3 linked regions of the Drosophila melanogaster genome follow. Changing the gene in region 1 together with any one later gene gives a genetic interaction. Each region holds a gene or a part of one and is shown in the gene's direction. Other genes may lie near its edges.

Region 1 (4,569 bases):
GTGTGTGTGTGTCTGTGTAAGGTGAGCTTGGTGGGCGTTTTTAACTCGGCTCTCCGTCTCTTTCTAGCCGCGTTTCGCTGTCTCTTTTCGAGTTTTCATTCACAATCTAATGCCGGGCTTGATCCACACCCACATTATTTAAAGTGGAGCAGTGCACAGAGGGGCTCTGTCCTTGTCTCTTTCTCTTCCAGTAGCTCCATCTCTTTCCGCTTCCTTTCTCCACCTGCACCCTTTCTATCGCTCTGTCTCTTTCTGCGAGCACAGCTGCAGTATTTTGCAATTCAATTTGCAGTCAGCTGAAAGAGCGAGAGGTAAAAGTATGAATTTATCAATGAAACCACCCACGTGACCCCTTTGTATATACACATGTGTGTGTGTGTGTATGTGTGTTTGGCGTTTTTTTTGTGTGTGGGTGTGCGTTTCTGTGGGTGCTGTTGCCTCTAAAGCTTTTTTCTAAGGGGGCCCAAGCTTTTTTCAGCCAATTAGCTTTCGTTGGTGTTATTTTTAGCTGACTAGCTTTCCAGCAAAAGCTTTCAGGATTGATAGACGAATTTGGATTTCGATTCCAGGAAAACCCTTAAAGTTTACTGCATCCGTAAAAATCCTGGCTAAAATATGTATGTACATATGTATGTCTGTTTGCACAAGTGCATTGAATGACGCAGATTCTACAAGTATCCCTATGAAAGGGTTTTGCACACGTGGAGGGGGTTTTGATTCTACTAAGAGGGTTGCGATCAAGAGTGTTGGCTAAATGTGTGGGCTTTTAGACCGAGGAAAGCCCACACAACCACTCGTAGAACTTGGCACGTTCCGGTGCACTGAAAACAATTTAAGATGACTTAAATGAAGATTATTGATAAATAAATAATTCCTATTTACAAAACACTTCTTCTAATGTCAATGAAAATATTACATATATTGGTTTACTAACAGCTGAAGAGGATTTAGAAATACCAATTATTTAGTTTAACTAAGATGAAGGCACGCAGGACATTTTTGACACTCACACTTCTTTTCAGTGTAGGAAAACGGCTTAAGAGTAATCCAAAGGTGTTACAGCCTTATGCTAGGCGATAGAAGCTCAGCGAGAGAGAAAAGCACTTTGAGGCGTTGCGGGGGTTGTGTGTGTGGTTTGTGGTGTTTGTTGTTTGTTGTTCGTTGTTCGTTGCCCCACCGGCAATCCCCCGGTCATGAGTGCGACGAGGACGGCTAGCTTAGCCCGTCCGCATGTACAGTTGTGCCCACACACGGCAGCAAGAACAACAACAACAACACTCAGACGAGGCATCTCAACTGGGCGACAGATCTCTAAGTAAGGCGATGATCAGCCCACGACTGCCACACACTCACACACTGCCATCGCAAACGGATACAGATACAAAGCCACGTACAGGTACAGATACAGTGAAACCGAGGCAAAACAGTCAAGGCAGCGCTGCAAAGCGAAGCAAACCGTATTTTTTAATACCGCCGACAGTCGGACGACGGATTGAATCGCAAAAAAAAAACGCATCGCAACCGGAAGGAAATTATCGTCTAATAAGTTGAGCACAATAAATTCGAGAATAAAAAAAAGAGCAGGGGATCTTATAGCCCCGATTTACGCGCCCTGTGCATGAGATCGTTAAGCGAATTAAGCCGAAAGATAGCCCGTAGCCCAATATCTCGACTAGCCCATCAAATTGCGTGTTTCAAATCAAAATTGCATAATCTGCACCGAAGAAGCCGGGAACTAGTTGCCAACTCTTCGCTAGCCAACGAGATCGCGATTACAGCCGGTGGATATCTTTCGCGTAATCGCAGTAGCTACGTCGCTTCCTTTGACTTGGCCACGTTCTATACAGCTGCGCATCTTATCTTATGCTTGGCCATCTGAAGTTTCAGAGTCGCAGTTGGCAGTAGTTGTTGCAGTTGCAATCGCGGTTGCGGTTTATAGTGAGTCGCGCGTGCGTTCGCCTTTTTGGCCCGCCTCGTAATTAATTACAAACGCAGTCGCGCGATCCGCAATCCGCGCGACTGTTGGACTACAGATGAAAATCCCAACGATCCTGCCTATTTACGCGCCCAAATCTTGATGCCCTAGCCAGACCAGCTTTCTGGGCGCTTGCGTGCTCTGTTGTCGCCGACTTGCCTCCGAATCGACGACATCTGATTGCCTTTTTATAGCTGGTAAGTAGTAGTAGTAGTAGACCCTGCCTATATTGCCCAGCCATCCACCATCGACATCTGAACAAGTATATTAATGGTTACAGCGGGAAAGGGGTGATTGTCGGTTTGGTTATGGCCTCTAATGGCCTTTAATTGGGGCGAAAGCCAAATATAAGGCTTTATTACATATATATGATGGGGAAAATTGAAGCGGGGCCGAATTTATTACGGTCATGTTACATTAGTTTTAATTTATTAATAAATTGTACGAATATTGCCCGAAAACATATATTCGTAAATCCAAATTATTTTATTGGATGATTTCTTAAAATAATTCAATAAAGGTAATTAACATAAAATATTTTGTGATTTTCATAAATTCCTATTTCACAAAACCATAAAGGTTTTTAGCCATTAGCTAAACCAGATTTGTTTTCTATTTAATTATTAAATATAAAAATTCATTCAATATTTGTAGTCTCATTGAAAAACCTTACATTTTTAATGATGAATGAGATGGAAAAGATTACACATCTTCGAAATTTCTGTACAAACCGAATCGAATGAGATCATTTTGCATAAAATTATTTACACATTCCTTAATATTTAGGAGCTGTTTTTGCCAAATACCATTTGCAGATAGACTCCATTTGCATTTCGAAAGAAACCTGGTTTTTTTATGAAGCCGTCGAATGTTCGAGAAGTCAATTGAATTTCGTGGTTTACCTCCATTCAATATGAATGGAAATAATAACTAAAATTAAAACTAATAAAAATATACAAAGATAAGGCTTAATATAATGATTTATGAAACTTTTACAACATATTGGTTGTTTTAAGTATACTTTTGTTGGCCTCTTGTTTATCTTTTTTAATGGAAAACTCAAAGAACAGCCTTGCAACAACTTCTTTTTGGCTCAAACACAAGCTATTTGACTGAATGACGAATTGCTGGTTATGGCCTAAAATATGAAGGACGTTAGTATGCGTAGCCCACGCGATACATATGTATTTGCACTCCTGCAGAGCGACACGTGCGTAAAACAAATCAATTAGCGCTGCCACATGAAAAGGTTAAAAGTCACGTACACGTGTTCCGTGTGCGAATGTGCGAGGGGCACAGCGCGGGGAATGCTGCTCATATGTATAAGGTCAACCGGCAATTGGTAGCCGCAAATTTTCTGCAACAAGTTGAAATTGCCTGGCTAATTAAACACGCAGGTGTAACGAATCCAGCCAAAGCTTCCGGCCAAATAATGCGGTTTAAATGGAGTCAGGAGCAGCTGACATTTGAAGCGACTCCCCCACAAAGGGGCAGAGAAACGGAAGGCAGGACCTTCTCCTGTGAATACCGAAATATCAAAGTTCAACCGGATAACAGGGCGAGCTTCTTTGGGTTCAGCTGCTCTATTCGCTTAGCGGAAAATCAGGAAAATTTATGAATGAACTTCTAGTTGAGCGGACACATCAACGGGAGCTTTTTTCATTGATAAGCTCAATTCAGTTTTTCGCTTTCCATTCCATTCATATATTTATCCGAATGTGACCGGCAACCTTTGGTCTGCCATCGATTGGCGGGCGGTGGGTTGGCCAAAGAGCAACAGGAGCCTCCAGCCGCAGGACATCCCACACACGTGGCAGACGTTTCGGGAAAAGGGCAAGGCACCAGCATCCTGTATCCATTCTCCCGAGACTCTTCTCGAGTGGAAAATGCTAGTAGCTTCTGGCTTCCTTCTGCACAGTGGTTCAAATCAGTCTTCAAATGTGTACAAAAGCTTTGGGTACCTATCAGCTATTAACTATTTCAAATCGTGTAATATAGTGTATATAATATAATAAATAGGGTTTATAGTGTAATTGTTTTAACTTTTCAATTTAGTAAATATTTATGACCACACTGCGTATGATTAATATAAAGCAATTGATTAATTTCTCACATTATAATATTTTGAATAATAGAAAGTATTCACAACTTTGCCTTACACATTAACATTTAGAGATTTTCTTTTTTCCCGAATACATTTATTCTAACAGTATTCATGGGCAGTATTAGCCCACTGTGCCGTATCTGCCATTTAGCTGTGCCCCTGCCCTTAACTTCATCCTCATCTTCTAGTCAATAATATCTGACAGTGTGGGCGTTTAATCGCATCTATTAGCATCCCAGTCGAGCATTTTCTTACACGCCCACGCTGGAAATTATTTCCACTAGGAAAAGTGAAGTAGAAGTGGAGCACATTTGGCGAAATGAAGGCAGGCAATCAACAGGTCCAGCTTGGATAACCTTATTGTTCTCGTTTTCCCAGCCAACGAAAATGTCCCTTCGGTTTTTCCACCTTCCAGGAAGCGCTGTCCCCTCGTTATTATTATTATTAATATTATTATTTTTATTATTGCTCATTTGTTTCAGCGCTAGAG
Region 2 (4,715 bases), on another chromosome or scaffold:
GAGAGAGTTGTTGTTTTTTGATTGTAATAGCTCGCTTGGTGGTGGGTCCACATTCACATCTCCCTCTCCCACTCTTTCTCCCCGAAAGAGAGAGCGGGAGCGAAGGGGCACGAGGGGAGCACGATGACTATGCAGTTGCATTCAATTTGAATTTCCATGGTGCTGATGATTCGAGCGCCAATTTTTTCGAAGAGTTCTTATTTGTTTACTTCGTTGTTGTTGCCTCAATTGGAAAGGGAAAATGTGGAATGCGGAGAAACACCAGAAGCAAATGCATTTCCATTCATAAATCCAAAGAAGTTTTAAAGATAACATGTCATTTGGCTTAAGTTCGTGGTGCACAAAAAAGATCGGTTTGCGGTTGTCGCATGAAAATGAGTTTATTCCATTGGTATATTATTATTCAGAAATTAAAAAAAAACTTGTTTAGTCTATTTTTTTTTTTTAAATAAAAAAAAAAAATTCTTTTATAAGTCGATTTTAGAGTAAATATTTAAAGACTACGTCTAATAAACATATAATTTGTTCTGTGTTTTAATTTGCCGGCAAAAACAAACCTACTTGTGTGGTCCTCGCACACTCATAACCCCTCGCATATTTGAGATTCATGGGGCAAAGAGGCTGCAAAAACAATGGAAAGGGAAAAGCAGAAACATCCTGCCGCTCATAATTTAGCATCGGAACATGCAAAAACAGACATCATCGCATGGGGCAGCAGCAACAGCCATAAAACCAACAACACGAGCAATGTAAAGCTAACAAATTTGCCAACAGTTCGCGGCACGGCTACACACACACACATGCATGCGCAGCCTGCCACGCACGCGCTTCCCCCAAACAAATACACACACACACACTGAGACGAAAGCTCCATTGGGCAGCGCTGCCGACGCTGAAGGCCGACATCGGCAGAGCTGAACGTTTGGGTAGGGGACCACCCACATCGCTTGGCGGTTTCAGTTTAATGAAGGCAGAAACAAATTTATTTTTGGGTGGTCCACACTGCAGCGAAAATAAACTACAGTGGCAACAACAAACCAGCAGCCAAGGCACTTTGGGTGGTCCATGCAAAAAAAAAACAAATTACGGCATGCGAATAACAATAGAAATTAGCGCTCTCGTGGCGGAGCTATTTGGGTATATTAGAGCTACATATTTTATTTGTTTATAAAAAGTATAAATGTAAACAATGAGTTCCAAGCATTAAGTCCGTATGCTCAACAATTACATTATCATTATTATTATCACTTAAATATTTACAAAGGATATTTAAACAGTAATAGATATATATTTTATTTCTTAATTTCTGTTAACATATGTATTTACATTGGTAGTTATTCTTTATTTTGCAACAAGCATTCATAAATTTTATATAACAAACTTGGTATTTTCTCGGAAAAACTCCTGAATCACCCCTCGGTATTTTGTGCGTTGAGCTATCGTTAAAGCAGCCCTCGCAGAGAGCGTTCTCAAACCAAAATGGCCGCACACGAAACAAGAGAGCGAGTGAGAGTAGGGAGAGCGTCTGTGTTGTGTGTTGAGTGTCGCCCACGCACACAGGCGCAAAACAGTGCACACAGACGCCCGCTGGGCAAGAGAGAGTGAGAGAGAGAAACAGCGGCGCGCGCTCGCCTAATGAAGTTGTTGGCCTGGCTGGCGTGCCGCATCCACGAGATACAGATACATCTCTCAGACTGCGTGCGATCCTCGAACGAAACGGTTGTAAGTGCGGAGCGCGACGACTTGTTATTCGTATTTCCGACTACTGGCACTCTCTGTGTGTGGTATACTAACAAGATAGATATCACAGAACTCGTGGAAAAGCTAAGATATTGTACCTCACGGATGCGAGGCGAAGTTCATGGATTAAATGCCAGGCAACAACAAAAGCCAGCCAACCAGCCAGTGTTTGTGTGTGTGCGTCGCCAAGTGCAAAGTAAAGTAAAGGTAAAAGAGCGAAAGGCGAGAGAGAAAACCGAATACGTGAGTCGTCCGACTGCCGCTTTTCCATGTGTAAAAGATCTGTGAAAATTCTGTCAAATTCCCCTGAGAAATTGTGCCCAAGATAAAACCCGAAAACCGCGTTTTAATCGTCGAAAAAACCCAGCAAAAGCGAAGCCAGCAATCACAACAAAACAACACAACGAGAGCTCAGATACACAGCGTGCTCAGTGAGTGAGCGAGAGAGCGCGGGAGAGAGCGTCTCTTGATTTAAAATACAAAATAATTAAAAATAAAAATGCGGAATGCAGTGCAAAATGCAGCCAAACAAAATACGAGATTCCAATAACAATTAATCGAACCGAAAGTCCACGAACAATCCGCACACTGTCTCCCAAGTCTCAGTTCTCAGGACGCAGACGAACGGCAGGCACTGTAGAAAGACCGATTCCGCAGCACACTCCCATCTGCACATCTCCGCCACGCGATTCCGTCCGGAATCTGGCTATAAACATAACCATAATGGACCGCGACAGCCTCCCACGCGTTCCGGACACACACGGCGATGTGGTCGATGAGAAATTATTCTCGGATCTTTACATACGCACCAGCTGGGTGGACGCCCAAGTGGCGCTCGATCAGATAGATAAGGTGAGTGCCCAACTACAGTGAACTTTCACTGTGAAGGATAGCCATGTGTTGAATTCAATAATATTCTTGAATCGTATTCGGAGGATCCTTTATAAGTTTAAATGGAAAATCTGGCTCTTTCGAAACTTTTGTTAGTAATCCCTTTTACTTTAAATTAAGCAAAAGATTTGAAGTATTAAGTAAATTTACAATCTTTTTAAAATTTGAAATTGTTATATTGTACAATTCTTGTCATTAGAATATTGAGACACTTAACTAAAAACCATGATGTAGAAGTTCGACTGTAAATCCGAAGAGCAGCGGCTTTTGTTTAATGCGGCCATTAAGTCGCCGGGACAGATTTCAATAAATTTTATTGCCAATATCTCTCGCAATATTTTTCGCGTTTTTTTCGTCGCCGATGTCTTCTTCGCCGGTCGTTTCGATTTCATTTCATTCGTTTCGTTTTCTTTCGTTCGATTCCCTGGTTAATATAGTTGTCTGATGTTCGCTTGCCAGGCAGCCTATTAATTACAGTGATTAGTTGAAATCCACGCCAATCGGCTTATATGCTAATTTTGCTATTTCGTTCTCTGGACATAAAAAGCGTGGAGGATTTACCTCCAAATATAGACATTTGTTTATGAAACTATTCGCCGTAAAAGTAGACGGAATAACCCTTTCGCTGCAGTCTAAAACTACAACAAATTGGATGTTTTACCAATCTTGTTAGTATTTATTCTCTGTGCACCGCCATCAATCCACATCTATTTTCGCTGCGCAGACGTAGACACACAGCAGGACTTTCGTACTCGTTTCGCCGATCCCAAACCGACCGATCCAACTCCAGACGGACATATCCACAGACAACTTCATTACTTTGGCGCTACTGTGCGCGGCTGGTCCGAAACCGCAAACCGAACAATAACAACTGCAACTGCAACTGCGGCGAGCGCCAAAAACAGCTAGGCAAAAACTGGGCAGCAGCAGCAGCAGGAGTTCCGTCCAGCAGTCGAAAGCAGCCGAAAAGGCAAAAAGCAGAAAGCTTTGGCAGCCGCAGCAAAAATAATAAACAACGCCAGCAACAACTTGCCCAGCATTCTGCTGGTGTGGGTTCGTATCTGTGTGTGTGGTTGTGTGTTGCCTTCCAACATGGGTGGGCGCCGAGGTCTCCGCGAGAGTCATTTCGTACGTGATGCTGCTGGCTGGACTGCCATTGGCCACCCCCTTCCAGCCGCTCTTTTCGGAGCCGCCCCACCCCTCCATCGCCCCAATGCCCCACCGCCCCAGTCAACGCTCCTCAGATGCTCTGTGATACGAGTTGTGGGGCGACTTCGGTTGGGAATTCTTCGCAGATTGATTAGAAGCATGCGTGACGTAATGAGTAATCTATATAATTTCGAAACAATTTGCTTTTTGGCTCTGCACTATGAGATTGATTAGCAAGCGTTTAGTCTAATTAAATGTCAATAAATGAAGGGCGCACATATTTTCATTACTATTTATATAGATTTTTTTTTATTGATCTTGAAGGTATAGTTCAGAAGGTAATATTTCCAATATAGTTGTGAACTCTAAAAAGAGCAGCATGCAGTCTTATATCCATTTTCGTTGCCAAAAGCATTTCAGTTTGCTGCTGTTATTCCCACCCATGCAAATGAAGCAGCCAGTGATCGTTTTTCGGGTTGGGATCGGGCCATTGAATGCGGGTGGCCCAAAAAGCGGAAAAAAAGAAAAGAGCCAAGGAAAAAATTTTACTGACGCACGCGCTTTGTTGTTGCTGACTCTGCTCGCGCAGTGACTTCCAAACTGTGCTACACTGAAAAAGAAACAACCGTTTACAAATAATAACGCTTACATGGCAAAAGTAAGAATTGATTTCCAGACAGAATTGATTTCCTAGTTAAACTTGCGAACTTTACGATAGTTTATCCTTAGGGTTAGTAACATATTTCAAAGATGGAAGTGCAGTAAACATTTTGAGGAAAACTCAGTTTTTCTGTGTGGACCGCCTCAAGTTTTCTCGCTGCTTCGCTGATGCTTTTTACAGCTTGATGTCTTCATCATTGTTGCAGTTGCAGTTCCTTGGCGACCGCGTGGCGTGTCTTGCTCTGTTGTTGTTCCCCCTCATTCCCCCGCCCCAT
Region 3 (3,301 bases), on another chromosome or scaffold:
CGGCGTTAAAACGCTCACCTTAGATGTGACATCGTTTCGTTGACATATTCGCGTTGCTCTCATAAATCAGATATTTATATGGAGTGGGAAGTTGGGGGACTCAAAACCAAAACCATGGGCGGCTTTCGTCCTTTCATCGTCCGGAGATCGGTAATCTCTGGATGGCAATTTGATGGCCATGAACAGTTGACAGTTGACTTTTTATTTATTCAGCAGCAACATTTAATTCAATGGCACCTAGGCGTAGGCTCTACAGTTCTAAGCTCCCAATTTTGAAGACCCTAATAAACATGAGTACATACTTTGTACATACTTTTCATTTATCGGCTAGAATACCTGTACGATCAACATTGGTACTGAAATGTACGGAAGCTGTCCTGTAATCGAGGCCTTACTGTGTCGCAAGCATGCCGCTTTAAGAAGTGTGGAATAAATGAAACAACGTCAAGTAATCGGCAGACCGAGTCAATATTAATGACGACTTCATCTTTATTCGGTTGATACGCCATATATTCAGATCTCAGTTCTTCCCCCCTTAAGTTTATCCCGTCACGATTTTTCGGTTTTCTGTCGCAGGGTCTTAGTAACATTTATTGTACTATTTAGTCGTTATCAAGCAGAAAAGCTCAAGAAGAGCACTTGTGGCGCTAAGCGATATTCAAAGCAAAAAATAATAATAAAATTGCAAATTCATAAACCTGGTTGACACTGAATACCTTGTCTCAATGCTTCGCGGCAAATTTATATTACATCAACACGGATTTTGCAAGGTCGACCGGATATGTTTGATTTTATTAGCCTCTGGACATCTGGTATGTCTGTGCTTAGATGCCCTGTGATGTCCTTTTCACATGTAATGCTATGCAATCCCCCGGGGCTACAGCAACGAAGTGTTAAACGAGGCTCAGTGTGAGTTAGTGCCAATACAAATCTATTTCGGCACGGTTTCCTAGCGTGCAACCAGAATTCTGACAATGGTTTTAAGAAATAATGGGGACCTCCTAAATGCTTTCAAAATGCTTTCGGCTGAGAGGAACAACAACTGATACGTTGGGCATAAAGGCCCCGGGGCATTAGAAGTGTTAATAGAAAAGTGCCTCCGGCTGATCAGGTTTCGTTGCAGGACCGAATGGATCGCCGCCTGAGGTGTTGATGAGCTGGCCTTGAAAATTCCTACGACTTTGGATTCGAGCGACAATGGTCTAGTGTTTAAGATAATGTCCGAATGATCCAGGGATCGGAAGGTCATCAGTACATAAAATAAATTAAATTAAATGTATTAACATAAAATTAAAGATTTTTTAAAAGTCTAAAATACCTAGCCTTGTTAATTAAAGATTATTTTTTCGTAAACACTTTTGGTAGTGTATAAATTGTAAATGTCCCCATTTTTATAATTGTAATGACAGTCTATTCCACTAATTTTGTTGTATTTTGTTAGTTATACAAATTGGATGGCCACTTTCAATAGGAGATACAGCTTTTTACTTCGGAGGTGTTTTTACTTGGCTCTGATGTCTGGACCTTGTTGCCTTTTTAAACCGGTTGGCAGCCGGCACGCGACAGGGCCAGGTTTTCGTTTGGGGACGACAGGCAGCTGAAAATGAGCAAAAACACTCAGAAACTCTTCCCACTCGACAACGGGAACACTCAGGTCACCAACAGCTGCGTTTTACAGAGAGAACGAGAGATAATATTACTACCTCTCTATTAAAATCAGAGAAAACACTCATCTCAAGAGACGATCCTTCAGTGATGATGCTGTTGCACCTTTTCCAGGGGCAGGTAGGTAGTCACGCAGGTGGGATCCCTAGGCCCTGATACCTATAAATAGCCTGAACGGAACGGGGAAGGGCATCAGAACAGAGCCAGCGCTGAAGCAAGGAGCATCGTCACACAATAACGTTATACTATCTCTTAAAATGGCTTTGGGCAGCGAAAATCACTCTGTTTTCAACGACGACGAGGAGTCATCTTCGGCCTTTAATGGACCCTCTGTTATCCGGAGAAATGCCCGGGAACGCAACCGCGTAAAGCAGGTCAACAATGGCTTCAGCCAACTACGACAACATATCCCTGCGGCCGTAATAGCCGATTTAAGCAATGGTCGCCGGGGAATTGGTCCCGGCGCCAATAAAAAACTGAGCAAAGTTAGCACACTGAAAATGGCAGTAGAGTACATACGGCGCTTGCAGAAAGTTCTTCATGAAAACGACCAGCAGAAACAGAAACAGTTGCATTTGCAGCAGCAACATTTGCACTTTCAGCAGCAGCAACAGCATCAACACTTATACGCCTGGCACCAAGAGTTGCAGTTGCAATCTCCAACTGGCAGCACAAGTTCCTGCAACAGCATTAGCTCTTATTGCAAGCCAGCAACATCGACGATTCCGGGAGCAACACCTCCTAACAATTTTCATACCAAGTTGGAAGCCAGTTTTGAAGACTACCGTAACAATTCCTGCAGTTCTGGTACTGAAGATGAGGACATCCTCGACTATATATCACTCTGGCAGGACGACCTGTAAAAAAACAGATCAAATCTTCAGCTATTGCTAGTCGCACCCAACCATAACACACATCAAACCATTGATTGGCCAACAAGTATTACCTCAGCCACAAAGTATTTATATTCCCTAGAACTACCTTTTTGCCTTATAAATTAGTATTTAAGGTTTTATATAGTTTCTAAGGATAGTTTCTAATGGAAGACAATTTATATTTAAGTTTTTTTTTATAGCATACATTGAGGACATTAAACTGATATATATAAAATTTTAAATGAGTTTTTATTGTAAACAAAATTAAACGGTAATTAAAGTGAAACAAATTTATGTACAAAAGGAGTAAAATTCAGAAAAGTTTTAATGAACAAATGCTTTATGAATATGGGCGTAGCAATGTTTTGATACAAACTTGATCCTGTCCTGTATACCACAGGACACGCTTCCTTTTACCTGGTACATTCCTTTAAACGATCCTAGTATACGCTTTATTCGGGGTAAGCCCGAAAAAAGTATTCGAAACTGTAACCGTTAAGTATTTACAGATCACTAGCCAATGAAGATAAATTACAATAACATTTTGTAAACACTTTTGATCGAAAACGCCGATTTGCATAAATAAAGTTGGATTGAGTAGGGTGAAAAAGGCAAAATATTTACCTGCTGCATTTTTGCATATGAACCGGTCAAGGTAATAAGATCCTGAGAATTCACAATTCCGGAGAGATCGATCGATCGATCGATGAATGAACTAATTTTGAGTTATTCCCGCAATGCAGCCGAAACAAGCGAAAAAA

The links.
Region 2: of sr (region 1) and ptc, changing one suppresses a phenotype caused by changing the other (phenotypic suppression), as found in Drosophila melanogaster (one study listed by BioGRID).
Region 3: of sr (region 1) and ac, changing one enhances a phenotype caused by changing the other (phenotypic enhancement), as found in Drosophila melanogaster (one study listed by BioGRID).

The regions. Positions count from the first base shown.
Region 1 is NT_033777.3:18,089,283-18,093,851, forward strand, and holds the start of sr (stripe), read left to right. Parts: upstream 1-1,520; 5' UTR 1,521-2,172; intron 2,173-4,569.
Region 2 is NT_033778.4:8,647,959-8,652,673, forward strand, and holds the start of ptc (patched), read left to right. Parts: upstream 1-1,690; 5' UTR 1,691-2,463; coding exon 2,464-2,592; intron 2,593-2,738; exon of another isoform or gene 2,739-3,095; intron 3,096-3,292; exon of another isoform or gene 3,293-3,538; intron 3,539-4,715. UniProt on the Drosophila melanogaster protein: Segmentation polarity protein. Acts as a receptor for the hedgehog protein (hh). Associates with the smoothened protein (SMO) to transduce the hedgehog signal leading to the activation of wingless, decapentaplegic and patched itself.
Region 3 is NC_004354.4:368,172-371,472, forward strand, and holds ac (achaete), read left to right. Parts: upstream 1-1,859; 5' UTR 1,860-1,922; coding exon 1,923-2,528; 3' UTR 2,529-2,776; downstream 2,777-3,301. UniProt on the Drosophila melanogaster protein: AS-C proteins are involved in the determination of the neuronal precursors in the peripheral nervous system and the central nervous system.